Linked DNA regions of Lytechinus pictus. The protein of the gene in region 2 purifies or fractionates together with the protein of the main gene of each other region. This does not show direct contact. Links are inferred from orthologs where the notes say so. Each region holds a gene or a part of one and is shown on either strand. Other genes may lie near its edges. The genes, in order: prefoldin subunit 3-like, uncharacterized protein LOC129254733, prefoldin subunit 4-like and prefoldin subunit 1-like.

Evidence for each region.
Region 1: the proteins of uncharacterized protein LOC129254733 (region 2) and prefoldin subunit 3-like purify together in Homo sapiens (affinity purification with mass spectrometry; 3 studies listed by BioGRID and IntAct, with this or other methods). This does not show direct contact. The link is inferred for Lytechinus pictus from reciprocal best matches to the Homo sapiens genes MAPK7 and VBP1.
Region 3: the proteins of uncharacterized protein LOC129254733 (region 2) and prefoldin subunit 4-like purify together in Homo sapiens (affinity purification with mass spectrometry; 3 studies listed by BioGRID and IntAct, with this or other methods). This does not show direct contact. The link is inferred for Lytechinus pictus from reciprocal best matches to the Homo sapiens genes MAPK7 and PFDN4.
Region 4: the proteins of uncharacterized protein LOC129254733 (region 2) and prefoldin subunit 1-like purify together in Homo sapiens (affinity purification with mass spectrometry; 3 studies listed by BioGRID and IntAct, with this or other methods). This does not show direct contact. The link is inferred for Lytechinus pictus from reciprocal best matches to the Homo sapiens genes MAPK7 and PFDN1.

The regions. Positions count from the first base shown.
Region 1 is NC_087248.1:15,691,795-15,699,437, reverse strand, and holds the start of prefoldin subunit 3-like, read right to left. Parts: upstream 3,019-7,643; 5' UTR 2,707-3,018; coding exon 2,600-2,706; intron 2,161-2,599; coding exon 2,094-2,160; intron 1,711-2,093; coding exon 1,612-1,710; intron 714-1,611; coding exon 575-713; intron 1-574. UniProt on the Homo sapiens protein: Binds specifically to cytosolic chaperonin (c-CPN) and transfers target proteins to it. Binds to nascent polypeptide chain and promotes folding in an environment in which there are many competing pathways for nonnative proteins.
Region 2 is NC_087246.1:15,313,986-15,321,158, reverse strand, and holds the start of uncharacterized protein LOC129254733, read right to left. Parts: upstream 3,003-7,173; 5' UTR 2,838-3,002; exon of another isoform or gene 2,820-2,837; intron 919-2,819; 5' UTR 865-918; coding exon 756-864; intron 1-755. Other genes in the region: coiled-coil domain-containing protein 86-like, read left to right, coding at 6,065-6,140. UniProt on the Homo sapiens protein: Plays a role in various cellular processes such as proliferation, differentiation and cell survival. The upstream activator of MAPK7 is the MAPK kinase MAP2K5.
Region 3 is NC_087246.1:50,539,387-50,546,355, forward strand, and holds the start of prefoldin subunit 4-like, read right to left. Parts: upstream 3,003-6,969; 5' UTR 2,543-3,002; coding exon 2,510-2,542; exon of another isoform or gene 2,377-2,509; intron 486-2,376; coding exon 381-485; intron 1-380. UniProt on the Homo sapiens protein: Binds specifically to cytosolic chaperonin (c-CPN) and transfers target proteins to it. Binds to nascent polypeptide chain and promotes folding in an environment in which there are many competing pathways for nonnative proteins.
Region 4 is NC_087262.1:23,590,518-23,597,617, reverse strand, and holds the start of prefoldin subunit 1-like, read left to right. Parts: upstream 1-4,098; 5' UTR 4,099-4,145; coding exon 4,146-4,172; intron 4,173-6,396; coding exon 6,397-6,563; intron 6,564-7,100. UniProt on the Homo sapiens protein: Binds specifically to cytosolic chaperonin (c-CPN) and transfers target proteins to it. Binds to nascent polypeptide chain and promotes folding in an environment in which there are many competing pathways for nonnative proteins.

The DNA.
Region 1 (7,643 bases), on a different chromosome or scaffold from region 2:
GATGTGCAGTGATACTTGATTACTCTTATGTCCAAGTTTCATGAATCAGATCCATAAACTTTCAAAGTTATGATGGTAATTCAACAGATACCCCCAATTCGGCCAAAGTTCATTGACCCTAAATGACCTTTGACCTTGGTCATGTGACGTGAAACTCATGCAGGATATTCAGTGATACTTGATTACCCTTATGTCCAAGTTTCATGAACTAGGTCCATACATTTTCTAAGTTATGAGGACATTTCAAAAACTTAACCTTAGGTTAAGATTTTGATGTTGATTCCCCTAACATGGTCTAAGTTCATTGATCCTAAATGACCTTCGACCTTGGTTATGTGACATGAATCTCAGGCAGGATGTTCAGTAATACTTGATTAACCTTATGGCCAAGTTTCATGAGCTAGGTCCATATACTTTCTAAGTTATGCTGTCATTTCAAAAACTTAACCTTAGGTTAAGATTTGATGTTGACGCCGCCGCCGTCGGAAAAGCGGCGCCTAGTCTCACACTGCTATGCAGGTGAGACAAAAATTGTTGGCTAATCTTGAAAAGGCTCTGCTGTGGTAAAGGATACTGACTTCAGTGGTGGTGTACTGGTCCCTGAGGAAGTCCAGGTCCTTGTCAACCTGAGTCTGGCTCTCTGTTGCTGCTTTCAGGTTCTTGGAGAGGAGAGCCTCGGCATCGGACAGTTCGTACTCCAGCATCACATTAGCCTGAAGGAGAGAAGGAGGGGCATGCACACGTATGCAGATTATACCAATTTAGGTCTTTAGTACATTGCACTGTTAAGAGCGCCCCAAGAAAATCACTACAAGATCACCACATTACCTTGAGCACCAGCAACACCTGACACAGTACAATCCTCTCCAGGACAGCATATAAGTTGCTTTTGGGGAGACTAAGTTATGTAAAAAGTTCACTTATTCTTCTGTTAAGTGCTGTCCCCATTGCAAGAGACTACATTTGCAAAGACAAGTGTAGTCAAACTTGGGTCATTCTTGCTATTCATGGTTACAGGAAAAATTACAGAGAACATTTGATCAGAGTGGAAACCCCTTAGCAAAAATGTTACATCACTCATTTCTTTTCCCCGTCACATTGCAGAAACTCTCTAAGGCTTGCCAAGAAGCATTCGCCAATGGAGTAGAGACATTTTTTGCACTGCAGCAACAAGCAAAGATTTGGAGTCGAGGGTCTTTCCCTCTGATGTGATGCACAGCAAGATGTTGCTACAGGCGTTTCTACCAGGCCTCTCCACTCATCCTAAAGCTTCACTAGTTGGTTTGCAATCAAAATTGAAAAATAACATAAGCTCTTAAATGAATAAATTCATATTCCTCCTAGAGTATTTCACAATGAGTTAGATATAAATTAAATCTGTTTTATCATGCTTAAATGCCTATGCGTACTCGGTATTCAACACATAACCTCATTGATGACTACAAGGTATTGCGTGACTGCAACTGAACATGATATGACCAATGCACTGATGCATGTGTTATACACCGCATGCAAGTGGGAAATACAGTTTGCTTTTGAGTAAAAACTTAAATCTTTGAAAAAACACCCTATTGAACTACAAACTGATACTGGTGGTGAACCCTGACTTACCCCTAGCCACAGACAAACTTTCTTGGTAGGAAGAATAGTAGCCTTGGCATATACTTGGTCTGATAAAAGAAACTGTGTCTTTAACTCATCTTCAGAACCCTAGGAGGACAAAATGAAATGGAACAATTTCGTGGCAGCATAACTGAGATATGAAATATATTTACATCAATCAACTGCAGAATTATTACAGAATAATTTGTTACAAGTAACATAACATTTTAAAGAGAGCGTGTAACATTAAATAATGAAAATTCTTTAAATAAGTTAGATAAAAAAAACAATGAAAACAAGTTTGATGCTAAACACTGAATACATAACATCGATCATGCATGCTCTTCATCTTTCAAAAAGGATTTCTTTTAATACAAAGTAAAAAAAAAGTGCTATATAATGTATACATCATGTAATGTACAAGAGTTTCTTTTTTGTTTAAAAGAAATTTGTTTTATATGGTAATTGAAATTAATGAAGGTTATATTTACCTGTTTACTTTGTAAATGTTTGACAATGTCTAAAGTTGTTCTAATATCAGGAATCTGGCCCTTTAATCTGTGATCAGAGATAGTAAATGATTAAAATATCTTATTCAAGAAAAAGAAATTAAAAATTAATCATTCAATACCATATTCCTTGGAATTTAAGTATAGATTCACTCAAGATGGCTTCTTGAGCAACCAGAGAAGTTCTATTCTTTTAATCACTTTTATGCAACCAATCGAAAATAAAGAAATTTAAAGTGGGTGTCAGAAATCAGTCAATACTTTTGCATAAATACGTTTCTTTCTTTTTTCTCAATTATTATCGTGATTTCAGGTGGCTTCATACATCTACTTGTCATTCATAAATTTCATATATGCAGCCATTAAAAAAAAAGGTCAATGGACTCCTGAAATCTATGGTAATGAAAAATTCATCAACAAGCCAACAATTAAAATATGGGATTATTAATTATACCACTGTATGTACAGAAAATAAGAGACAAACGCACCTTCTCTTTTTCTGCAATAAATTCATTTCCATGAATTTATACTTCTGATGCTGTTCTTCTAATCTCTTCAACACAATCTCAGCAGACTCATTCTGGGGTTTCTGCATAAAACTGTCTACATCTTCCTGTAAATCAAATTGAAAATATGGAGGAAAACAATTCGTATTTTCTCAACGTCTTAATTTTTTATTTTCATCTTATCTTTATTTGTTTTCTAGGGTCTTATTCATTTTTTTGTACTTTCTCAAGTCTCAAACTCTATCTTTCTTCAGATTTTATTAGCATGCAGCAAAGAAATTACTAAATTTTAAAATCCGGAGACCTCTGCAATAGCTCAAGATCTATAAAATGTGGGATGAACAAAGTTTTCTAAGACCATTTTTAAAACCTTGCAGGCTTAATTGTCTTGAATAGTAATGAGCCAAAGATCAGGGCACAGCAACATTGTGCTGTGAAATAGTGGCAAGGGCAGATTGCCAGACAGACAACTGAAACTAAAGTGTTTTGTTTGTCTCGCTGAGCAAGTTATCAGCCCATTGACATAGAGTACCAAGGTGTGACGTCAGTTGCCACTTGCCATGGTGCAATGGCGGGCTGGTTCTAAACAGAGTCGCAGCAGATGGTCGTCTGTACACATCTTGGCTCATCTGAAAAATAGGGTGCAAGCGATCATTCTGATAGCAGCCATTTTCTCCTGTGTAAAAACACATGCTTTCATTCCGGGTTCATTTGTTTAGAACCAAGCCGCCATGACACCATGGCAACTGATGTCATGGCTTCGGTACTCTATTGTGCAACTGCTTTCCATGTCCACAAGATATAACTTTTAAAAAAGCCAAGCCCAAGAATAAGATTGTGCTGGTCACTGCCATCATCATCAGCACATTCTTCTTTCTTTCAATTCCCAAAGTTTGATTTTTAAAACATTTGCCGATTTTTAAAAACATGTTGTAAATGAGGAATGATTCTGATCTTATCATATTTTTTTCAAGTTCAGACAAATATTAAAATCTGTCGGCACAGGAAATGAGTTATCAGTTAGTTTTCCAATTCCAATTTCCAGGCCTGCACTCCTGCAGTAGGGATCCCAAAACGAAAATCTATTTTTTTTAATCTATGTTTAAAAGCATTGAAAAGTACCTCACCTGAATCAGCATACATGTATTCAAAAACCCCAAGTGAATGACTTTTAGTGTTCCAAAGAGATCTAAATATCTGTTAATCTGAGGCTAAAGTTGGTCCGAATTGTGACAGATTTGTGTACAAATTTAATTTTGAAATTTCGTCGACACATATTCACAGAGCTCGGCACTGAACGAGGGATTGTGGGCGTGTCCTTTCTCGCCTCGGCGTATTGTTACGTAAATACACAACTCGAACGAAAGTGCGTTCACCGTCCCAGTTAGTCTCGGATCCGAGCTTATCCAAATAAACAATGATTAAATAACAACAAAAAATAGAAAGAAGAGAAAAGAGAAAATAAATGGCTCAAATGCAGTCGTTTGGTGACGGATAGTATGCTGTGACCTCTTGCTGATATAAGGATTAGATATGACAAGTTTTATGCCATGATAACTAAAGCATGGGGGGCGGGGGCACTCTGACTTTCAAAATAATTAATTCTTTAAACATCTATATCTAGGCAAGGGAGGGTCCAGGATTTTCCAAAGGGGGGGGGGCACTATTAGCGGCGGCAGTCAAAAAATTTAGGGGGGCACCAAAATCTTTGACAAAAAAAGGTTATCAAAGGGGGGGGACCGAAAAAAAAATTAGCAAAAAAAGGGTAACAACGTCCCCCCATAGGCAGCGGGGGGGGGGGGGGGGGGGGTCGTGTCCCCCCTAAATTTGAGGTGGGGGGACAATCGCCCCCCCCCCTAATTTTTTTGTTGATAACCTTTTTTTTTGCTTGACAATTTTTTTTCCTGCGTGCCCCCTAAATTCCAGTGGACCCCCCCCCCCTAAAAATTTCAAGTGGTCTCCCCTAAAATTTGGGTTGATAAACTTTTTTTTTGGTGGGGGGCCTATGGAGGGCATATTTTCCCGATGCAAATTTGATAAGCATTACAAAATGTTTTTACAAAAAATTCAAAGTCATTTCGTCCCTAAAAATTTACAAGCAAAAAAATTGGGCCTATATATATATATATATATATCCTCACTTTCAAGGGGGCATGCTTGGGTAAAAAGGGCATGCTAATGTTACAAATTACAATTTTGGCTCTCGATAATTATGCCCCTTGGATCCACCAGTAATCTAAGGGGAATTTTTTGTTTTTAGTTTTGATATGGCTACCTTCTCGGAGGGCGTCCTCGCCGCGGTAGCTGGATAGTGCTGCAAAAGAGTAGGCCTTATACATCTTTTGCAGCATTAACTGACACTCCGAGACTTATAATTTAACCTTATACTTAAAAATGAATAATACAAAATAAAACATAACACTTGTTTTTAGAGAAAGTTGATGTCAAAATATATTCAGTCTGGGGCATGAAGACTTGGAACTCTGCCCCATATCATTGTACTTGCCTCGCTCGATTTGTATCATAATTTTTTTTTTATGTTTCCACAATAAAATATAGATCTAAGTACAATGGCCAGAAATAATAGTACGAATAAACTAGCAGAATTTGTATCATATCACCCATATTATTGAACGCCAATAAAGGCAGTCTCTAAAACTTGTTTGCTTTATCCCACTTTTCCACTAAGATCTATCCCTTTTGCGTGTCATATAAAAGCAATTTTGTGCGCAGATCTAGCGTAACGGTGGGACCACATGCAGTCATTAATAGGTCTCTTTAATTTTTTTTCAACATATGATGTCTCATGCTTTCTTTAAAATTAATAAATTAGAATCCTTGTATATGGCCCTGAGAAGTGGGGTGCTCGGGTTGTTACCCCCAAGATTTATTTTTTTTGGGCTGGTGGTGCGTTTTTTGTACACGTACGGCAGGGGGAGTGGAGCGAAGTTGGGGGAACAGAAAAGGGGCACTTTTTAGTGCTTTTAGAAGTGGGGCATTGAGCCCGCGCCTATCCCCTGGATCGCCGCCCCTGCACCAGAGGCAGCACCCCCTGGAAATCAGTTTAGTATGATATTCGACCAAAATCAACTTATCTTTAGAGAGATAATCTCTTTCTTTTGGCTTTTTTTTCAAAGCCAGCAACCCCTCTTTAAAAGATTTCTTTTCGGGCAATCCTCATGATTATCTCAAAAATTTGAACATTTTTTCTTCAAAGCATCTTTATAGTGACGGATGGTATAATCATATTACTAGCAGTGGCGGTATGGCCAACCCCCCCCCCCTCCCAGTTTTTTTTTTTCAAGTAGTTTAAAACAGGAAGAAGAATTACATAGATTTTTGTACCGAATTATTTTCATTAATGATTTTATTGGTAAAAATACAAAAAAAAAAAAAAAAAAAAAAAAAAATCAATTTTTCATGTTTAACCCCACTTTCAAAACTATTCCTCGGTTCCTGGAAGAATGGAGAGATGGATGGAAGGAGAGAAATAAATAGGATGAAGGGTGGATCCAGCTTTCGCCAAGGGGGGGGGGTTTCTTTCACCCATATTTTTCCCCAATCGGCCGCGCAAAGATGATTTATGTTTGTTTCTTTGAATAAAATGTCACTTCTTAGCTTTTGTCTTATAAATCAACATAAATATATAATATCATAACTCTTTTTTATATAATGCGAGCGCAAAGCGCGAGCTAATTTATCATTAAAAAATATGTGTTTTTTCCCCAAAGTTTGAAATTTCTGGGCAATGTTTATCATGAAAAAGATGTGTATGCAACTAAATAATTACTAAGAACGCGAAGCGCGAGCAGAATTGAAATAATAGGCACTTTTTGTAACTTAAACAGGATAGGTATATAACTTAGCAATTGATGCGAAGTGCGAGCACAAAATTGGAAGATTTAGACCTAAAAACAAGACATGTCTATTCATGTATTTTAAATCATGCATGGAAAGGATATCAAATTTCCGATCTTTGTTAAAGCGCGAGCATAAGATTTTTGTTTACGTTTTCAACTGATCAAAAAGGTACCTGTTAAGGACTGCTTATTTCACTTAGCCATGGGGAGACGTTACATATTTCAACAATAAAATCATGCAAGCGCGAGCCGATTTTTTTGGGGGGACACTTCTACATAAAGAATGGAAAATTTAAATCAATTGTAACCATGAACAGGATCGTCGCTATAAAACAATTAATGCGAGCGCGAAGAGCGAGCGGAAAAAAAAATCGAGATTTAGACCTAAAAATGGGACACTCTATTCATGTTTTATATATCATGAAAAGGATGAGATAAGAAAGAAGTAGTAGTGCATGGGCGTTATCGCCAATAGGGGGGGGGGTGCCAATTCGTCTACGGCAAACTCGTCCACTCACTACATGGTCTATTTTCATTAAGTCTAATGCCAATCTGTCCATCAACATTTCGTCTAACAGCCATTGGTCCATTAACCATTTGGTCCAATCATCACTTCTTCTAATAACCATCTCGTCTATGACCATTTAGTCACATAACCGGTTGGTCTAATAGCCATTTTATTTTCATAACATTTATAGTCCAATTAGATGAAATGGTATATGGACCAAATGGCTTTTGGGTCCACTGGTCATTAGACGAAATGGCATTATACTAAATGAAAAAAAGACTATGTGGTGAGTTGACGAACTGATGGACCAAACGATAGTAGACGAGTTGGCAATTAAACAAATTAGAAATAAACCGGGGAAGGGGCCGAAAAATATTTGCTCTGCTCAAAGTTAATAGGGGTAGTCCTAACAGTCACTTCTTTATTCTCATTAAACAGCATACACAAAACACAATATATAATAATCTTATAGCCCCTATAGTGCGAGTGAGAAGCGCGAGCTAAAATATCTTTGAAATTTCATGTTTTTTATCCTCAAAATTGAACATTCTGGGCAATGTTTGTGAACTTGAACAATATGCGTATTTTAATAAAATTTCTGCGAGCGCGAAGGAGGAGCAAAAAAAGAAAGAAAAGAGAGAAATATACATTCTGGTCT
Region 2 (7,173 bases):
AAAACCGTTCTGCGGCCCCTGGTATTCAATGGTAGTTCATTTCAATACTTATTCCAACTAATAAATACATTCCACAATTAAAGGGGAATCCAGCCTTGGCCATAAAATGTTGTGTTGGGAAGGAGAAAAATAAATTAAACAGAATGGTGAAAATTTGAAAGAAATCGGACAAGCAATAAGAAAGTTATAGCTGCTTTAAAATTGGGATCACTAATAGTATGTAGATTTCAAATTGGCAACTGGGTAAGTAAATTATGACAAGGGGCAAGGACAACTTTCCCATAGGCCATGTACTTTATTATCAGGGTTTTGTGGTTTTCTCCTAAGTATCCATTCCCCTGGGGCAGTAATCTAAATATAACCCAGGTAGTATATTGTTTAATGTCCTCATGAAAGAAAAATGTAATTTGAAATAAGACTTTTCGGAAAAATGACATTTTAGCCATAATATGTAGTGGAGTACATGGAAGAGTAGTCCTTGCCTTACATCACTATGACATCCCGTATGTAGCCAATTTGAAGTCTCCATGAGTATAGTGATTATCAATATTTACAACTTTTAAAAATTCATAACTTTCTTGTTGTTTGTCCAATAAGGTTCAAACTTTCACATATCAACTTGTCTAATTTATCTTTTTCTTATAAAAACAAGTTTTTAATTGGGTTGGATTCCCCTTTAATTTTGTCAAGACAAAGTCAAATAATAACAATTTCAAAACTAATTTTACACATGAAAGTAATGCTTGTTTGTATACCTGTTCCTATCTTCTCAAGAGGCTTATAATTTGAGTTTCCTATGTCAAACTTGACATCCATGCATCTGCCCTTAAAGGCAAGAAGACTCCGTGATGCAGCTTGTTGCATTGTGTCAGTTTACTTATACTCGATCCAAGTTCAAATCGAAGGCATCATTGAGATCTACAGGTAACAAAAAAGCAGATAAAATTATTCATCGTTAATATAATTATGTAAAACATGAAAAATGTAACTTTGTCAGCAGCCTCTGGCATTATATCACTAATTGTGTGCATTGTTTGTAAGGAGTGAATGCCAAGGCTATGCAATTCAATGCACAAGGCACTTCTGAGTTCAGACTAAAATACAAGTAGGCCATTACCTGTTACAATTTTAATTTGAATATTGTACTGTAGGTGGTTTAATAACAAGCATGCCTCAGAACATGAACGTAGGTCTATGAATTATTGTGAGTGCTACACTTCCACCCAAGATTAGATGTGGAAGACAGCAAAAAGCATTGGCAATTTGGAAATCGATATTTTTGCATTTATGACTGACAAATTTTTCAAATGACCAACCATGATAATAGATTACAAATTCTCCAGACATAGACATGTCAATATAATTTGGAGTTGTTGTAAAAGCAATGGCAAGCAAAAATAACCTAGCAAAAACATGAAAGGGCAAGTTGTTAAAAGGCTATTGCAGGGTGAAAGTTTTTTAAAACAGTGCAAAAATAAGGTTAAAAAAACCCCTAAAAATTGCATAAAAATTTGATGAGATTGAGAATAATCAAAAAATTTAATGTAAAAGTTTAGCAATACTTCAGTAAACAGTATATACATTTCTTCATGAAAATGCAATGAGTTGATGATGTTATCTCTTCAATCATTCTGGGTAACTTTATCAGAGGAAATTATGTTTATTCAAATTCCATCCTCCATGAATGTAACTAGCACAACAATGATGTGGATCTTGCAGCAAAATTCAGCCCAGTTGACATTGAAGTGAATTATAATGGTCACATAAATTGAGGACACAGAATTGATATTAATGAATAAATGACAGAAAAGCATTTTTTTTTATTTATGAATAAATTTTGTATAAATCAGCATTAATAATTTTCTCGTCAAAATTTATAAATTCTGTGTAGAACCTTGGTGGACCTAATGAGGCTCTCAGAATTGTCAGATGGAAAAAAAAATCAAAATCATTCAACAAATAAATAAGCATATTTTGTGAGTTATGAAAAATATGCATAAAATAGCATATTTAATGAGTTTCAAAATTCTGTGTAGAAATTTAGTATCCCCCACCTACTGACCTAGAGCTATCATATAATACTTTTAATACCAACTTTATTACGATCTTGGCTCTAGTCTTGCCTTCAATTCAACAGCTAATTTGAATAGCACATGGTTTTTGTTAGTGAATAATTTTTACTCTTTTATGAGCCTCCTGGCTAACCACACAGTAGACCAAAAGCTTCAGTCTCTGTATTTTGGTTGTTCCGCTGAACTGCGTTGGCTCACTCACCATACATGGGGATTACAGTAAAATGTCAGAAATTGTTGAATAAATCCCCAGAAACGACGGTTATTCCTGTCTAACCACACAGGGAGTACTAACAACAGAGAATAGGGATACATCATTCATAACCTTCAACCTTGTATATTGAATAAATGCAATTAGGGCAAGCCAATGCCCCGGGCCCAGCGCACCCAAGGACATTGTCATTACATGCCGCCGCGCACAGAAAATTCAAGCCATAGAAGTCGTGTGTTGTGGACCTAAGAAGTGAGATCCCAGCACGCGCGACCCACTAGTTAGAAATCCACTGCCAAACGCGGTTCGTGGTGCGAGGTTAGTATACTAATACTAACCTCGCAATACGTGTGAGTGGGCCCAGCGCGCAAATGGGAAGATTTTACTTCAGTCCTAACAAACATCAGATGGTACATGCGGGACCGATATGAACATGATAAATAATTTTGCAAAGAAAACAGAACCTTCCAAGGCCGACAATAACAAATACGATTAAAACGTATCCAAAATAGATTTCACAGTAGTAATAAACTTACAAGAGTCAAGAATTTTACCTGAGATGCCGTAAATTTGACTAAAATCCTTTGTAATTTGGGTAGAGAAGGCAGTGTATTCGCTTGGGCGTTTACTCCTGTATAAATACATCTCGTAATCTAAAAATAGAACTGCGATAACTCTTGGCCAATGAACAACGAGCGAGGGCGACGAATTTTTAATGACAAAAAAGGAGTTGCGAAACTAAATTCAAAACAACTCCACCCATTCCTGATCCGCCTTCATAAAATGTATGTACTCCAGTGAGGAAATAAGTAAATAAATGCTTATATAAATCACATTGATCAAGAGAGGTAGACCCCTTATGCTTTTCTTAAAACAGAATACCAGACACGGGCCAGTAACATTATAGACCGTACCGTAGGTACCGGTATGTATTTTTGTCATTTTTGTAAGCAAGATTTTTTTACTTTTCATACCAACCGAATGCACAAAAATAACTTTAAACAAAAAACATTGATTTTCATCCCCGGTTTTCACCATCATTTTACATTAACATCACAATTTAAAGGCGTTTGTGATCATTCACTTTTTTTTTTTAATAATGGAAAATGTGTCCGCGGTATATCATAACATGAATTTCAGGGCTGCAAATAATCAGCCGTCGAAGCATATTCAATTAATTTTGTTCATGGCCAACATTTAAGCATGCATCATATCATAACATGAATTTCAGGGCTGCAAATAATCAGCCGTCGAAGCATATTCAATTAATTTTGTTCATGGCCAACATTTAAGCATGCATTTAAAGGGATTCTCCGGGCTGAAAACATTGGTATCTAAATGAATAGAGTATAACATTCACAGAGCAAATTAAAGGCTGAACATTTCATCAAAATTGGATAACAAATAACAAAGTTTTTAGATTTTAAAGTTAAGCAATTTTGTGATAATAGTTACGCACGTCATCATGAATATCCATTAGTTAGGTGATGATGCCACATATATCCACTTTCATATTTCAGTGTTAATTTTTTTTCACACATGTGTGAACAATGTGTCTCCTTTTAAATGAAATAATTTATTAAATCAGTTGTCAATCCAATTTTTTCAGTTCTTGGTAGAAAAACTTTGAATAGACCTAATTTAATATAATACATGTAAAATACAAAAGAACAAGTGGGGATATGACATCATAAATTTGCTCATTGAATATTCATAAAGACATGCCTAGAATATTTGTTTCACCGGAATAATGCAAATCTTTAAAATACAATTGCTTTGTTATTCCTTGTCTGATTTTGATCAAATTTTCAGTGTTTTTTTTGTCTGATTTATCTGTTCAAATCTTATTATTTTCAGCCCGGAGCATCACTTTGAGCAGCCCCCCTCCCCATCGTGCGGCAAGAGCAGCCAACCAATAGACTATATCCTTAGTTAAAGTTTTTTTTCGAGAAGAAATGTTTTCCTCGATATCAGTAACACGGACAACTAGTGGCGTCGTATCTAGGGCAAATGGCACTCGGGGGAAGTGCTAAAATCGCGCCCATTTAAAGTATATATATATATATATATATATTAATAATTGTCAACAATTAATGAAGAGGATTTGTATCTCCAATATCAAATCAGAGAGTGATTAAAAACTTTGACAATTAAACGAGAAAAAAATGTATTTCAGAACTATTTGTATTAGAATTAATGGATACATATCAAAATGCAATCCAGTAGCTAGAGATGAAAAGTTACGATATTTGCGTTTGAAAAGGAAATATTTTAAGGACTGTTCTTTGGAAATCCTGACGAGGATGAATAAGTACATATACTTATAAAAAGTTGGAATTCCACGTGTTCGGGGAGGAATGAAACTTCGTTTCACATGACAATGACGAGAAAATCAAAATATTTCATATTTCATATAACAAAATACAATGGAAATAGTGAGTGGGTGATGTCATCGGTCCCCTCATTTGCATACCGAACAGAATGTGCATAAAACTGTTTTGTGAAATTAACGTAGAGTTTTTCCTGTCCAGACAAAACTGTTTGTACAACCTATCTTTTTTTAAAATTGATCATAACAAATTTTCAGTAATCCAAGGTTTTTTAAAATTTTCTTTCTACGAAATTGATTTTTGACTACAAAATTAGATTCACCTTGACAAGAACATTAAATTTTATTTGAAAAAGTATTGTAGTTTACTACATGATCATCGTTTATGAGCATATCATTCCTAAGTTTAGTAGTAGACAAATCGTGTTTCAAATTTTAAATAATTACAGCATCAATACGCTGGCATGGATTATGATTAATAATTATGATTTTGTTCAACATAGCTTCCATACCAAGGTTCAAAGCCAATTGAAAGATTGGAAAATGATCAGTTAAATCTGTATAGAAAATACCTGAGATAGTATTGTTAGAATGAACATTCGTTAGTATATATAACATGATATAATATAATCAATCAGAGAAACAGTAGAATTAATAATGCATGTTGGCTTATCTATCAGAGGCTGCAATGAATTATTACAAATTATATTGACAAAGTCATCAACGTGTCATTCAGGAAATGAAATCCCCCATCAAGTAAATATTCTTCTTTTCCTTGAGCAACTCCTGAAGGCACTCATTTATCGATTGAGTAAAGTCTGTGATAGAAGTTTTAGGATCTCTGTATACAATTGAGCCCATGTCACGTCAAACCATAGAGCTATAGCTCTATGGTCAAACCATGAAGCGACGATTATAAACGTTAATTTTGATTAGTCACCCATCCACCTATTAGTCCTACAAAATTTCATAAAATCTTCGCCCAAAAAATAACTCAACCTATAAAAAATACAGAATAGTAAATAATGCGCGTGAAACCTGATTGTTCGTGGAAAGGGTAATTAAGGTTGGTTGGATGGTTATTGTTTATTTTACAAATTTCTATTTAATGTCAGTTTTTTTTGCTTTTGTTTAAAAATACATATTTTCAAAAAAATATAAGATATAAAAATATATTTGTTTTTGAAATATTTCACGGTTTCACGGTTGGTATGTTGAAAAGCTCCAGCTGGAACATCACTCAATATGTATGTATCATAGAGATATCTCTATGGTATGTATAATCATGATAATATAAAGTTCGAGACGTAGATGGCGCTGCATCAATTCATATTTTTGTGATATATGTTAATTGCGTAATACAACTCACACGTGTAAATCGTATTGTGGCTTTTTTCTAAAGAAATAATTTGACTCATGATTGATTTATTAGTGGAATAGGAGTACGTCACCATGCCTGTTGGAACCAGAAGCAGTTCTAGACGAGGAGCTGGAGAAGTGGGACTAGGAGACCAAACAGAGTCTTTGGGTAAGTGATCTTTCAGTCACTAGACAGTAGCCTAGGCCCTAGTGTAGGCTGTAGCAGCGCAGCTCGGCTGCCTGGCCCTTGTCATGATTGTGCAAGATGAGCTGTGCGACTGTGCCTGCGCTGCCCCGCGCTTCGTCCATTCATGCATGGTATGGTGATGACAGCTGGCACTGGCAGCCGTCTGTTTCAGGGGTTTTTTTAAACATTTTTTTTATATTTCTCCTCGTACTCAGACGGCTCGCTATCATACAGCCACCATAGGGGGTATAACAATGCAAAATCCCCCCGACGTGGCTCATCGATTTTTGTCTTTTTTTTGGCAGAAAAGAGAAAACCGCATGCATCTTCATCATGACTTTATAAGTTTATGATATAAATTCTAACGTTATAACTTATATTGACTATATTTAATTATGAAATAGAATAGAAGTTAGTAATAATTTTAGTTAGGTTTAGTTTGGTTCTATTTTTGGTGTTTCCACTTTAATTTTTATTTTAGAAATTTTTGTAAAAAAAATCTGATATAGGCCTAAATCAAATAAATTCGATTTTTTAAATAAAAAAATTGAATAAAAAATATTGCCAACCCTGGTTTTAATTCATTTTTGTCTCACCTGCATAGCAGAGTGAGACTAGACTATAGGCGCTGTTTTTCGGCGGCGGCGTCAACATCAAATCTTAACCGAAGGTTTAGTTTTTGAAATGACAGTATATAATAAGTATTACTGAATATCCTGCCTGAGTTTCAGGTCACATGACCAAGGTCAAAGGTCATTTAGGGTCAATGAACTTTGAACAAGTTGGGGGTATTTGTTGAATTACCATCATAACTAAATTTAGATTTAAGTCTGTTACGCTTAGGAGGTATTCTTTGCAGTGATGCAAATTTTGATTTGCACTGAATGTTGACCAGGGTGAATTCTCCTTTTAAGGCATGGCAATTCCATTTTAAATTACATCTTCAGTAAAAATACTGTAAAACACCTCATGTGTTCCCATAAGAAAGTCTATTTAAAAAAAGAGATTTTTAAAG
Region 3 (6,969 bases), about 35 Mb from region 2:
TGCGTTATAAACTTATGAAAATTTATTATTCATAATAAGTACCACATAAAACCTTGTTCATGTATCAGTAAAGAGAAAATCCCTCTAGTAAGGACTCTAAGGAGGGGGTTTTAAAAAAAGTCTCCTCTTTTACAGACATAGTCTCATCAAAACAAATATCAACCAAAATAGATTAATTCAATTATTTTCCAGTCTAGTTTTTCATATACCCTGTTTGAAAAGCCGACTATAGATTTTGATATTTGAAGGGCAGGGTCATTTTTCATGTGCTTTCATGTAGCCTACACTTCTCATTTTGAAAAAAATATATTGGAAGATCCTTGGCTTAGGAAAATATTATTAAATTTGTTATACGTAGGTATCATGGTATCAAAATTTACCTTTTTATTTGCAATTTCATCCTGGATTTCTCCAAGTTTATTACTCTTCCTTGCAAACTTGTTGATCTTCTGCTGATCTTCAAATGTGACATTCACATCATCATCCTGAAAATAACAAGGAATTGAAATTTTGGTATAGAACAATCAGAGCAAATCAAGGTGGGAAAGTTGACAAGTCTGGCAAAAGTAAAGCAGAACCCAATCTCTAAAATTGAGCACATCCAGGCTTGAACCTTGGAAGAGTAATCCCTTTCAGCAGCTTCAAAGCTATCCCGGGATGAAAACATTATGTGTATCAGTGCAAGGTGCCATGGTGAGGTAATTTAAAATTTCACTTATATACATTAAAAGTGAGTGTACACCGTCCAAGTAAAAACTGACTCTTGGTTTACAGCATAAGAGACCCAACAGGAGGCTGCATCGTGCAGATGAATGGCAGTGCGGCCTCTCTAAATACAGCTGGGTTTGTTCCTATTACAACAGGTCCTGGTAGGTGATTCCAAATTTTGACAGTACGTGGGAAGAGAACTTGTATACATCAGTGGTTGCTTTCGGGATAGCATATTTAAGGATGTGATCTTGTCTTCCAATATATGTGGCAGGACAAATGGTAGGAGGAAAAGGTACAGCAACTAGGTGATGATGAATTATATGGAAGAGAGTACACTGAGCAAGAAGATGGCGTGTATAGAGACTATCCCATCCGAGTGCAGACACAAGGGCCAGGTTTGGCACGTTTTAGATGGTGTGTTTTAAAACATGTTTTAAAACACCCATTTTTTTTGCAAAAAAAAAGTGTTTTAAAACACCGCTTAGGCTTGTGTGTTGTAAATTTTGCATGGATGTGATTTTAGATTATTTTTTTTAATACTTTTATTTCTGAAGTGGTGTATTATTTTCTTCTAACTAATTAAAACACTTTTTCAACACCACTTTTTTTCTCCTCATTTTCTTTTCCCCTAATTATTCTCCCTTTTTGGGGAATGCATGCATGGGTATGCGACAAGTTTTTAAAAAACTTGCTCAAAAACGTGATTCATGTATAATAAAGCAAATTGTGAATTCTTGCCAAAATTCGTAAAGTTTCATTTTTTTGTACTTTTTGCTGATTGAAAAATTATTGCCTGTAATTTTAAAAAACTTAAAAAAACATTTTATACTGATTTTTTTCTTCTAATATAAGCATTTGATCAAAATTCTTCAATTAAAAAAATAAGCAGTTCAAGGCCTATATTTCTAGATTTAACTAAAATTGGCATAATTGATTCAAATGAAATAAAGCATATTGAAGCCCCATACACTGTAGATTCTGTCATTTTCTTCCATTGTGAAAATTCTTCTTGCCCCCCCCCCCCCTCCCCTAGATTGACAAGACTCAAAATACCCCAGGCCCAGGACTACATGTTCATGTATGAGGAATAAAACTATAAAATGGCAACTTACTTTAAAGTTTAGTGTTCTTTGTTTAGGCATTCAATTTCCATGAATTAGTAATTTTTTGGGGAAATATGAACTTTTCTGTTGGAAAGTCAGTAACAAAAATTGTAGTCATCTCTTACTTTACTTATTCCAAAAATGTATTTATTACATAAATCAGACTGTATAATAGTTTAAATGATTTACGGAAAATTGCATAATTTGTTTAAAAAAACGTTTTAAAACACTTTAAAATAATAACAAACATTATTGCAGCCGAATTAAAGTCACTGTTATTTCCCCTTTTAAGTTTATTTTTTCCCCGACGCGACGGTTTTGGTGCATTTCAGGCCAAAACAGAATAATAATCTTTTTTTTATTTTGGACAAGTTTTTTTTTAACATATTTTTATGAAATAAAGTCATAAAGACCCTATTGGCTATGGAGCCAAATGATTTCAGCGGAACAACCAACATAACAAAACAGAGACCGAAGCTTTTGGTCTAATCATAACCTTGTTCATTGATTCTTTGATTTGAATGAGTGCACCAGGGCAGTAGTAGGCAGTACCACATTTTATTTTTACAAACAAATTTGTAGATAAGTGGGACCGTCACAAAAATATTTTCTTCAATTCCACCACTAGCACAGTCCCCAACACAGATCAAATAAGATTTTCATCTAGACATACGTCAAGATAGATCTATACTTACACCACCTGTGGCTTTCTTCATTGACAATGCCATAGCTGTAATGACAAAATTAGAACTTTTAAAAGAAAAGTTTCTGGACGTGGGCCTGTCTTTCCAGCTTTCAAACTCTAACCAAGAGATGGCTCACTTCCAAATAAATATTGGGCGTGCGTCATCGCATCATGCATAGTCATTTTCTGAGACATATTTTGACCCGGGAGTTTCGGCGAAGCTCAATAATGATTTCCGCCAGCGGAATCTCGCGCTCGCAGCGTACATGTAGCATCGACCAAGAAAACTCAACGACGCCACCGCCTTACAAAATAGATAGAAATTGAAGTCAGGATTCTACACAGAATCAGAGAGAGGAATATAGTTTAATCACAGAGGGAAGTATTTTAATCTCGGGCGGCATTTATGTAAGTTCTATCTGTTTGTAGATTTTTTAAAATTCAATTTTTATGATCGATTCCGTTCGACATGCGCCATGCCATGCCATGCCCATGATCATCATGATCATGCATTCATGGACATGTCTAGACAGGAATAACCGTCGTTTCTGGGGATTTATTCAACAATTTCTGACATTTTACTGTAATCCCCATTTACCGACGGTAGGGTGTACGTGTGGGCTCGCATGTGTTCTCATTCCCTCCCTTTTGTCAATTCACAGTCCAAAGTTTGATGTATCATGTAATTTTACACATCGAATTTACAATCTAAGGATGTATAAACAACAAACTTTTAAAACTTGATGTTTTAACATTTAAATACTTTAAACGATATAGATGAGAAAGGCATGAAAAATATACTTTACCGATGTTTAATTGGGTTGAACACGATAAAAATGGTCAAAATGGCAGCCAAACTATAAAATATTTACAAACGAACGTCAACAACAGTAGAGGCGCTGGTCAGAAAATTGGGATCGTCCCAGTTTACAGGGACTGTCTCAGTTTATAAGGATTTCTTCACACAAGAAATCTAGGAAAGTTCATTCACCTGTCAAGTGCCGACACCAATCAAGTGTGCTAGTCAATGTAAACATATCGGGTTTCATAACAAGATTATTGGAAGACAGTAAGTCATGAAAAATAGACGGTGAACTGGGGGGAATTGAGGTCACTGAATCTATTTTTAGCACTCTCAATTCCCGTAATTGCTGTCTTTGTCCCGTAGGGGGAAGTGAAAAAAAAACGTCCCCATAAACAAGGACAGTCTCAATTTATCAAGACATGATTTGTCTTGGTTTATGAGGATATCCTCGTTTTCTGGGACAATCCCAATTTTTGGACCAGCGCCTCTACTGACAATCACGAATGTGATATCGATATTGCTCTCGATATTATACGATCTGCTCCATATGCGAACGAAACCGAAGATAAACGATACTAGTTATACTAGTACTAGTACTAGTTATAATCGCGATATATCGATTCGAGACATTAAGTTAATACGATAATGACGTCATTCAAGAAAAACTGTCAGGTCAGGTGAAAATGTCTTAGATGACAGATTTCTCAATCATCCAGAGGATTTTTTTCAATAACTCCGGCCCAAGGTATGCAATTACTTAAGTTATTTATATTTCCCTGATAATGGAAACCATGAAACTTTCAATTTTGCTTAAAAAACAGTTTTAAATCGCGATCTATAAAACGCTAGTTCACTATACATTGGCTGTAGGTACGGGGCCCCATCCCCTTCAGTCTATGTATGGTGAGTGGAGCCAACGTAGTTCAGCGGAACAACCAAAATACAGAGACTGAAGCTTTTGGTCTAGGACATGTCATACTTGTGACTTGTGTGTGTGTGTACCGGTATGAAGAATTTTGTTTGGATGAGTAGATTTCTAACTGTTAGTGTTAGACCTCTTTGACTTTGTGTGCAGCTGCAGAGCAGCAGAGGGTTACGACTAAAGTTAAGGAAGGTGATAATGATTGATATGGTAAGTTAATTTTTCCAGACATAATGTTCCCTGACTTCCCTCGAGTAGCAGCGACAGGAATACCTCGGGCGATGTTCGTGCAGGCTCCACTCCACTTCACTACCGCTACACTCTGCTCCACCTACCCGAACATCAGGACCGTGAACCATTTCGGATATACCGAGTCACAAAGGTGGGATGGCAATCATGATAATCGTAAAAATTAAACCCAAAAAATATAAAGAAAAAGATGATTGACTTGATAATATCTTACTCTACACCCGTATTTCACTCCGTTTCCATCCTCCGGTTATCCTCAAAATTGGTGCTTGATGCTATCTTTGATTTTTCTCTTTTTATTAAAAATCAAATCCACTTTTTGTTGGGGTGGACTTGCCTTTTGAATTAAAGGACTGTATTTTTTGTGCACAATTGTACCTGCTTCTTGCAGTTCTTCTTAAGGGGCTTTCACAATCGCTCTTGCGATCGTTTGCGATCATTTGGTCACAATATATGTTGCACACAATTGCAACGGTTGTAAGCAGAGTTGCACCACCAGTTGTGAAAGGGGCTCAAGTCGGACAACACTCTGACCCTAATTTCAATGTGATCTCATTCTGTGAGATGCAACTATATCTGACAGTTGTGTTTGTTTTCTTGTCCAAGGTTGTGATATTATAGACACTAGAACTTTTGACTATTTGTTTGTTTTCTCATTTGACTTTTTTACAGGATCTATTGTAAGATGGAACTTTAAATATTAGGCAGCATTAAAACTACTTAAAAACAGTTGAATTAAAAAAAAATCAGTAGAGAGTAGAGACAGTCAAAATGGCCATTTACCATAGGCATAACAACTTGCTAAAAACAGTCAAAGACCCCAACCAATTGAACATTGACTCAAACCCATTGAAATTATGATTTGAGAATGATGCTTATTTTATCTCTATTACCGTTCTGCAACATAACACAAGTTGCAAAACAAATAGATTTTAAATTATATTTTTGAAGGAAATTGAAACTGTTTGTAAAAAAAAGTCCAGTAAGAAAAAAAGAGCTATAATTTTCAAATATTAGTTCAGATTTGAAAATATTTTCCATGTTTACAATTATTATTGTCTCAAATTATTTTCTAGAATACGGTTTTACTTTGAGAGGCAAGAATATTAATAGAGGCCACAATATTAGAATTGCGGAAGAGGTTAACAGTACTCGATGTTAGTCTTAGATGGACAAAGAAAAGTGGATAGAGAGAAATGGAGAGGCATCTGGGACTCACCAAGTGATGTACCATTATAAACCTCTTCTGTAATTAACACTTTATGCAAGGCTCGACATTAGCGGTGGCCCGGGGCCACCAGAAATTCACCTCGGGCAACCATTATTGAAAAAATATTAAGTTTTGGTGGCCCGAATCGGGCAACCAATAATTTTCAGAATAGCGCAATTTTTCTCCCCATTTTGCACGCATTTATCAACTTTCTACAAACACACACAAAATTGGCCTACCGCTATAGCATTAAGTAGCTTTTATCCAGCCGGCCGCGCTGGCCGGCTGGCGTGAGCTTTGCATGCCTCAAGCAGCTGTGAGTCAGCAGCCTATATATTCAGACTCAGGGAGCTGCAATACGAAATGTTGCAGCTAAGAAATCTTCCACAGAACTGTGAAAATCCAAGTCAAAGTCACATTTTACACCAATGAAAAGCCCTTCTACAGACCTTTTTGCCAAAATCTGGTGTATCCTGATTATTTTCAAGCATTTAAAAGAGGAATCATGACCTCTCTTTTGACTCAAAAAGACCGATTTCCAAATGAAAATAATGCACATAAAAACACATAGGTGAGTACATCACAGTCCCACGTGTGCATTTGTATGTATGTTGATACTTTGTTTCTTTCGAAGCTGTGTCTTTTCTAGCCAAAAATAAACAGACAGTTACTTTCTTTCTTGTTTATAAATGACTTCTTAAACAACTCTTGAGAAAGTACATAATTTGGGAAGGCATTTCATTAATATGAAATGTGAATTTTTCCAACATTTTGGCAAATATAGGGAAGGAATTTTCTCACACTTTTTTTTGCCGTTTTATTATTTTCTTTCATTTTTTTGACAGTGGTTAAAAAACCATTTATACCCATTTATTAATTTTCAATGTTTTTCTTTATATTTTTTGGGCCACCAAACTTTAATATCAGGCCACCCAAAAAAATTATTTGAAGGTTTTGGTGGCCCGAACGGGCCACCACCAAAAAAAGTTAATGTGGAGCCTTGCTTTATGTTTTTGGTTTTGTTTGTCAAATTGACAGTTATATTATTTAAAGTTCAAAGCCACCCAGAAGAATGTTGATTTGAATAGATAGAGAAAAATCAAACAAGCATAACACTGAAAATATCATCAAAATCGGATGTAAAACAAGAAAGTTTTGACATTTTAAAATTTTCAGCATTATTGCTTGTCTGATTTTTCTCTATTGATTCAAATCAACATTTTCATGAGGTGGACTTGATCTTTAATGCGAATTGCTCAATGCTTTTGTAAAGCACTCAGAAAC
Region 4 (7,100 bases), on a different chromosome or scaffold from region 2:
AAAAAAAGAGAAGAAGAAGGGAAAAGAGAGGAGAAAAAAAGAAAGGGAAACATAAAAGGAGGAAGACGAGTGAATAAGATAAGGGGAAGACTTGGAAAGTAATAATAAAAAATCTTTCATGCTGGGATATATAATTTTTGCTCGCGCTTCGCGCTCGCATCGCCTTTTAGGTGATTTACATATCTTGCTCAATGTGGAGCTTAAATATCAAATCTTGAAGTCAATATACAAAACATATTTCAGCTCGAAAATTTAACTTTCATTATTTTGTTTGATTTGCAAATTTGATTTTTAAAAAGTGTTCTGTAAAATTTTTAGTTGTATGGTCTGAATATTAACATTTCTGCTTGCGCTGCGCGCTCGCAAAATTTGATTTGTCAGGTACCTATTATTTTCCTGTAAGTTCCATAAAGTTATCAAAATATCCCTATTCAGGTCAGATTGTGAAAACGTATCAGCTAGCGCTGCATGCTCGCATTTTGATTGGTGAGTTATGTTTATCTCAATATTAATTCTAAAACAAACTACTTAAAATCCCCATTTGATCACATGCAGTTTATCAGAAATTTCGGTTCGCGATTTCCGCTCGCATTGATTGTTGAAATATATCAACTCATGCATCTTATTCATAATTACAAAAATGCTTTAAATGTCCAGTTTTCAGGCCATAATATTAAGAGATTTCGCGCTCTCATGCTTAGGAAGAGAAATAGGAAGATAGTAATCATTTTCATATGATGACATAATGTCCCGGTCCTATGTCAAAACTCAAAGTAATAATAATGAAACTTATCAGCTCTTTTTAACTGTGATCCATATCCACCTCACAATTTTCCCACAAAGTGCTTGAAAAACAGAGCTTAAATTTACCCTTTTCAGAGCGGAATATCATATATTTTTAGCTCGCGCTTTGCGCTCGCTTTATTGGTTTTCATGATAAGAAATGTATTCAAATTATCCTAATTCTACACGTTCTAGGTCGAAATCTGAAACACGCGATAATTTAGATACGCAGCTTGTTCTCTATTTAAATCATTATCCAGTTTCAGATCACAATATAAGAAATTAAAAAGTCAAAAGGGGCCTAAGCTTTCGATCCTAGCAGAATCTTCGGCGGAGGCAAAATGTATAATATAAAAAATTGTCTGCTCGCGCTTTGCGCTCGCATTATTAATGTGGGAAAATTTCCAATTACTCATTTTCATGATTTACAAATCATGAATAGAGTGTCCGGAATTTTTCCGCTCGCGCTTCGCGCTCGCATCAATTGTTTAGTTATTATACTTATCCTTTTCACGATTACAAAAGTGCTTAGAATTTCCATTCTTGAGGTAGAAATGTCAAAATTTCCAGCTCGCGCTTCGCGCTCGCATTATTTGGTAGTTAAAATATGTAACGTCATCTTGGCTAACACGCAGCCGTTAACATATCAGATCAAAGCGTATATCAAAAATAAATATAACAATTTGTACTCGCGCTTTGCGCTCGCATTATTAATGTAGGAAGCCGATTTCCAATTACTCATCATTTTCATGATTTACAAAATATGAATAGAGTGTCCAATTTTTATGTTTGAATCTCGAATTTTTCAGCTCGCGCTTCGCGCTCGCATTAATTATTTAGCTATATACTTAACCTTTTTCATTCTTCAGGTAAAAATGTCAAAATTTTCAGCTCGCGCTTCGCATTATTTAATAGTTGAAATATGTAACGTCTTCATGGCTAACAAGCTGCTGGTAACAGATCCTTTTTTTATCATTAAAACGTATATTAAAAATTTCTGCTCGCGCTTTGCGCTCGCAGCAATTATTTACTTAGATACACATTTCGTTTAGGATCATAAACATTGCCCAAAATGTTTGAATTTTAAAACAAAATACATAAAATAAACAAAAAGCTCGCACTTTTTAAATAAGGCTTATGATATTATATATGTTAATAAATTACCCCTTCAAAGAAAGAAACAAAAATTAACTTCGAGCGGCCGATCGGGGAAAATGTGGGTGAAAAAAAATTCCGGCCCCCCCCCCTATTGGCGAAGGCTGGATCCCCTGTGACATACGGTACACGTAGCGGTGGAGTATGACAAAAGTGTAATGGATCTGGAAAGTATACCCATAAAAGTGACATGCTTGCATGTGGCTATTGTGTCCCCCCCATGCTCAAGTTTGGATTGACGCCCATACATTTGGTTTGATATTGCTAAAACAAGAATAATCCATTAACCTTTGAATTTTTGAAAGTCCAATACTTATGAACAGATGTCTCCAGTCTTGTTGAAAATAATTCTTGCAATAGCTTTATTTTGTAACAGTGACAGTTCTGGTGAGTGTTTCATAAAGTTACGCACGACTGATGACCTTTCTTGTGCCACACTATCCCTATGTAGCTCACTTAGCACCGATATGCTCCAGTCGATCGTAAAGTTGTGCGTAACTTTACAAACAGCTTTATGAAACGACCACCTGATTGTTTTCGTTCCCTGTTCTGTGCAATAGTTTGGAATGATTTACTTAGGCCTAACTCCAGGAGTTTTTTCCCATGATACTCTAAAAGTCCCTTATAATGATGAACTTTCCAATCTAAAGGTTTCCATCAACATCCATATGCGGCACCAGGATATAACTTTATAGCGTCCGGGGAGGGAGGGGGGGGGGGGCAAACGACCTAATGGTGATGGTTTATTTCACATTCGTCTAATGGCAATTCGTCCAATTGCCAACTCGTTAACTATCATTATTTTGGTCTACCATCAGTTCGTCCACTCACCACGTGTCTATTTTTATTTAGTCTATATGCCATTCCGTCTAATTACCAGGTGGTCCAATAGCCATTTAGTCTATTTACCATATGGTCTAATTTGACTAAGTGTTTAATTGTGCAAAATGAATGAAAATTAAATGGATATTAGACCAACATGGTTATGAGACAAAATGGCCATAGACGAAACGGGGATTATAATAGACGTAGTGATTAGACCAAATGGTTGTTAGACGAAATGTTGATGATGGATGGAATGGCATTAGACTAAATGTGAGTTGACGAGTTGGCAGTAGACGAATTGGCAACGGTAATGCAACCTCTTGGCTTTCCTTCCCCCTTTCTGCCTACGTTTCTCCTCCCCCCCATGAATTTATTTACACTACAAGGAAAAAATCAGAGTGGAAAGGGAGGGGGGGGGGGGCCAGGACCAAAATCCAGTTGAAACCAATTAGAGCAAAACCAATTGAAACCAGTTGGCCAACTGGTTTTAATAGGGAAATTGGAACAACTGGTTCCAATTGAAACCAGTTGCCAATTGGTTCCAGTTGAAACCAATTAGGCAACTGCATCTCGGTTGGTTCCAGTTGTTCCAATTTCCCTATTAAAACCAGTTGAATCCAATTGGAGGCAACTGGTTTCAATTGGTTCCAGTTGAAACCAATTGGAGGCAACTGGTTCCAGTTGAAACCAATTGGTTTTAACTGGATCCAATTGGGACTTCCAGTTGGAATGAACTTAATTAGTTACAAATCAATTAGCATTTGTACTAACTATTGCTCATGCCAGCACAGAAGCATTGTTATATGTCTATAAATACCAATGTAAAGGGCATTGATGAAATGTAGACTCTCATATATATATATGTATATTTACATGGAGGAGCTTCGAATATTTGTATTTGATGTAATTTGGTAACAGTTAGTGGTATACTAATTATCTTTTAATCTGTTTTAATCATAATCTATAATATTTATTGGATGTTGGTCCTGGGGGGGGGGGGGTGGACAGCCGCCCCTCCCTCCTTGTGGCGCAGCCCCTCGCCACATCTATCATGATTATACCTATAGCTTTTTAGCATGAGATAGAACCCTCTTGAAATCTAGCATTATTATTGGCAAATTTTTTTCTTTCAAAATGTAACATGATCATGATAGGCCTAAATAGTATGCCAAGAATTTAGGACTAGCTTGAATTAGAATGTATTTTTGCCTTTTCAAGATGGGGAGATTTTTTTCAACTTTGTAGGATAAATTTGTCAGGAAAGGTTTGCTTTTATCTTGTTCCCATATTCGTTTATGTGGCATGATTTTAAAATGCGGCTTTAGCCCTCTCTCGGTCGTAATTGAACAGGAATTGGCTGTAGAAGAGTACAAATTGCAATCATGGCTGTCGATCTTGAGTTGAAAAAGGTAAATAAATCCACTTTTTATCCAAATCAGTCTGATAAAAAATCTGTGATGATTTTATGATTATATTTTTTTTCAAATGGGGGTGATTTAAGTACGCGAAAGTGTACAAAAGTTACCAAAATTCATTGGCAAGTGATTGCTCGATGCAGAGGCCGAGGTTCAGCTGCAGCGCCTGTCTTGTCAGCGAGTCGTTGGGCTTCATCTGCGGAGAACTCCCGGGCAACAGCGAACTGGTGATGCGATGCGATCTCCGAACAGTGGATGAAATGAACTGAACAGTGAAAGTGAAACGAGAAATTACACAACATAGCCATCAGAGTGAGAGGGAGTGTAGTTTGTAGCCATTTAATGTACTAAATCTTATTGATAAAACTAAATGGACGTGCCATTCAATCAGTAGAGCCTAGGCGCTGGTCAGCAAATTGAGATTGTCCCAGTTTACAATTACACGAACTGTCTCAGTTTTCAAGGATTTCTCCACACAAGAAATCTAGGAAAGTCCATTCACCTGTCAAGTGCCGACACCAATCAAGTGCGCTAGTCAATGTAAACTTATCAGGTTTCATATATTAACAAGATTATTGGAAGACAACAAGTCATGAAAAATAGACGGTGAACTGGGGGGGAATTGAGGTCACTGAATCTATTTTTAGCACTCTCAATTTCCGTAATTGCTGTCTTTGTCCCGCAGGGGGAAGTGAAAAAAACATCCTCTTAAACAAGGACAGTCTCAATTTATCAAGACATGATTTGTCTTGGTTTATGAGGATATCCTTGTTTTCTGGGACAATCCCAATTTTTGGACCAGCACCTCTACTGTCAATGATTCATCATGCCATTTGCAGTTTTGTTTTGTAGCTGTTTTTCCAACTAAAGGCAAAGCAAAGACAAGCCAAAGCAAAGCCAAAAGTAGACGGGAATAACCGTCGTTTCTGGGGATTTCCTTAACAATTTCTGACATATCACTATTCACCGACGGTAGTTCGTTAGTGTGAGCTCGCATGTGTTATCACGTCCACCAACTCGCCGACTAGTCATGCTAGTACTGTCCAGACTTCAATATTTTTAAAAAAATTGAATTTACAGTCTAAGGATTTAGAAACTAACTAAATAATGTCTTGAATATATAAAAAATAAGGAAATATGAAAAAAAGAGATAAAAAGGTATGAAAATAGTACTACCAATAAAAAACCAAATCATTATTTTTTTCTTTCTCACAATTACGGCAATATCGGACTTTATGAAGTTGCGTGAGTGATCCCAGAGCACATGAGAGCAAAATGCTCGCCAATCTTGTAAATTTTTTTCGCTTTTCAGCGGCCATAAAAATAGTAAATATCAAGCAAATTGATGCGGCAATCAAAAACGGAAGCGGGCGCGGACGAGAAACATCACTTTTTTGTAGAAAATAGTAAATAGTGAAAAATTTCATGCGGCGGCCAAAATAGATGCGCGCGAGGACGATCAACTACTTTCTTTTTTTTACTTGGCCTTATGAGTAGAGTCTAGATCTAATACCAAGTTTTCAGTCGAGAAAATGTCTAGAATTAGCCTTGAGGACTCTGATGATTTTAATATTTTTACAAATTTATACAGATACATCATGTAGCCTTGAGACTGCGTATAGGACTGCATAGCGAGACATCGGTTACAGTCAGTTCATTATTTTTATCTTGAGTAAAGTCCCCAAACATCGGACGGTTCCAAGTATCGGACGAAAATGACTTTAACTCCCTCCCCATAACTACAGGGACCCGCACTGGCAGGGGACTTACATGCATAAGATACATGAACATACCTGCTATTGAACTGCACACACAGTAGATCCAAGTTGCTGATAAAAGAAAATATTCCCGGGGTAAAATCCATGATTTTGACTTCCAAAGATTCTTATGACCCTCGCTAATTATGGACTCCAAAAGATCAATGACCCAAAAAAATTTGTAAGGGGGAAGTGATTTCCGCCAGAAATATCGCCACTGAGATCGCACATGTTGAATCTATCGCAAAAAATCTGCAATGGCCGCTGCGGGGGTTCTCTAAGGCGGGAAATGTGACACCCTTCCGAATAGATGAATTTTGCTGCTGACTCATTTACATGTAACTCACGACTCAACAGAAATTTCTCCTTGCATGCCATTTTCATACTGTATCTCACAGTATTTCTGCATTAGAGATCCTCAACATTTACAACAGTAAATTTCTTTGCTTACTTTTGCTCAGGCATTCCAGGAGCAGCAGATCCGTATGATCGAGACGACGCAGCAGCTTAAGATAGCTGACATGCAAGTTGAACAACTGAAGAGAAAACAGCAGCATTGCAGACTGACTGCTGCAGAACTGGCTGCTCTTCCTGGAGAAACTAGGGTCTTTGAAGGAGTAGGAAGGATGTAAGTCTCTATTCTTTTGAGTGAAATGCCACTGCTGCTTTTATCTCCAGTATCTTTTACATGGGTGCCTTTTTACTTAGGCAAAAGCATAAAAGTCACTTACTGTACGTCCCATAAAATATATGTTGAGGGAACTAGACTATTACTAGGATGACCCAGGAGCAGCCACATAGCTTGCTGGCCTTCCTAGGGAAACTAGGGTCTTTGAAGGAGTAGGAAGAATGTACATTATTAAAGTCTCTGTTTTCCATTAAACTGCACCTCAGCTATTCCATCAAGTATCACATTTAAGGATTTGGTACGTTTTACTATAAAGGGTTTTCACACGTTGCACCTGTAACACAAAGCTTAGCAATCATTGTATAAGAATATCTTTTCGATTGATTGCATTCACTACTTTGTAAAATCAGTCGTATAAATCAGGCGTACGGTCAATCGGTTAACCTTTGTGTTGTGGGACCCTGGACATTTTAGCCAGTGTAAGCCAATGTACGTACATGTATAATAATCCTTTATAGCATTAAGAAGTTGTGGCCC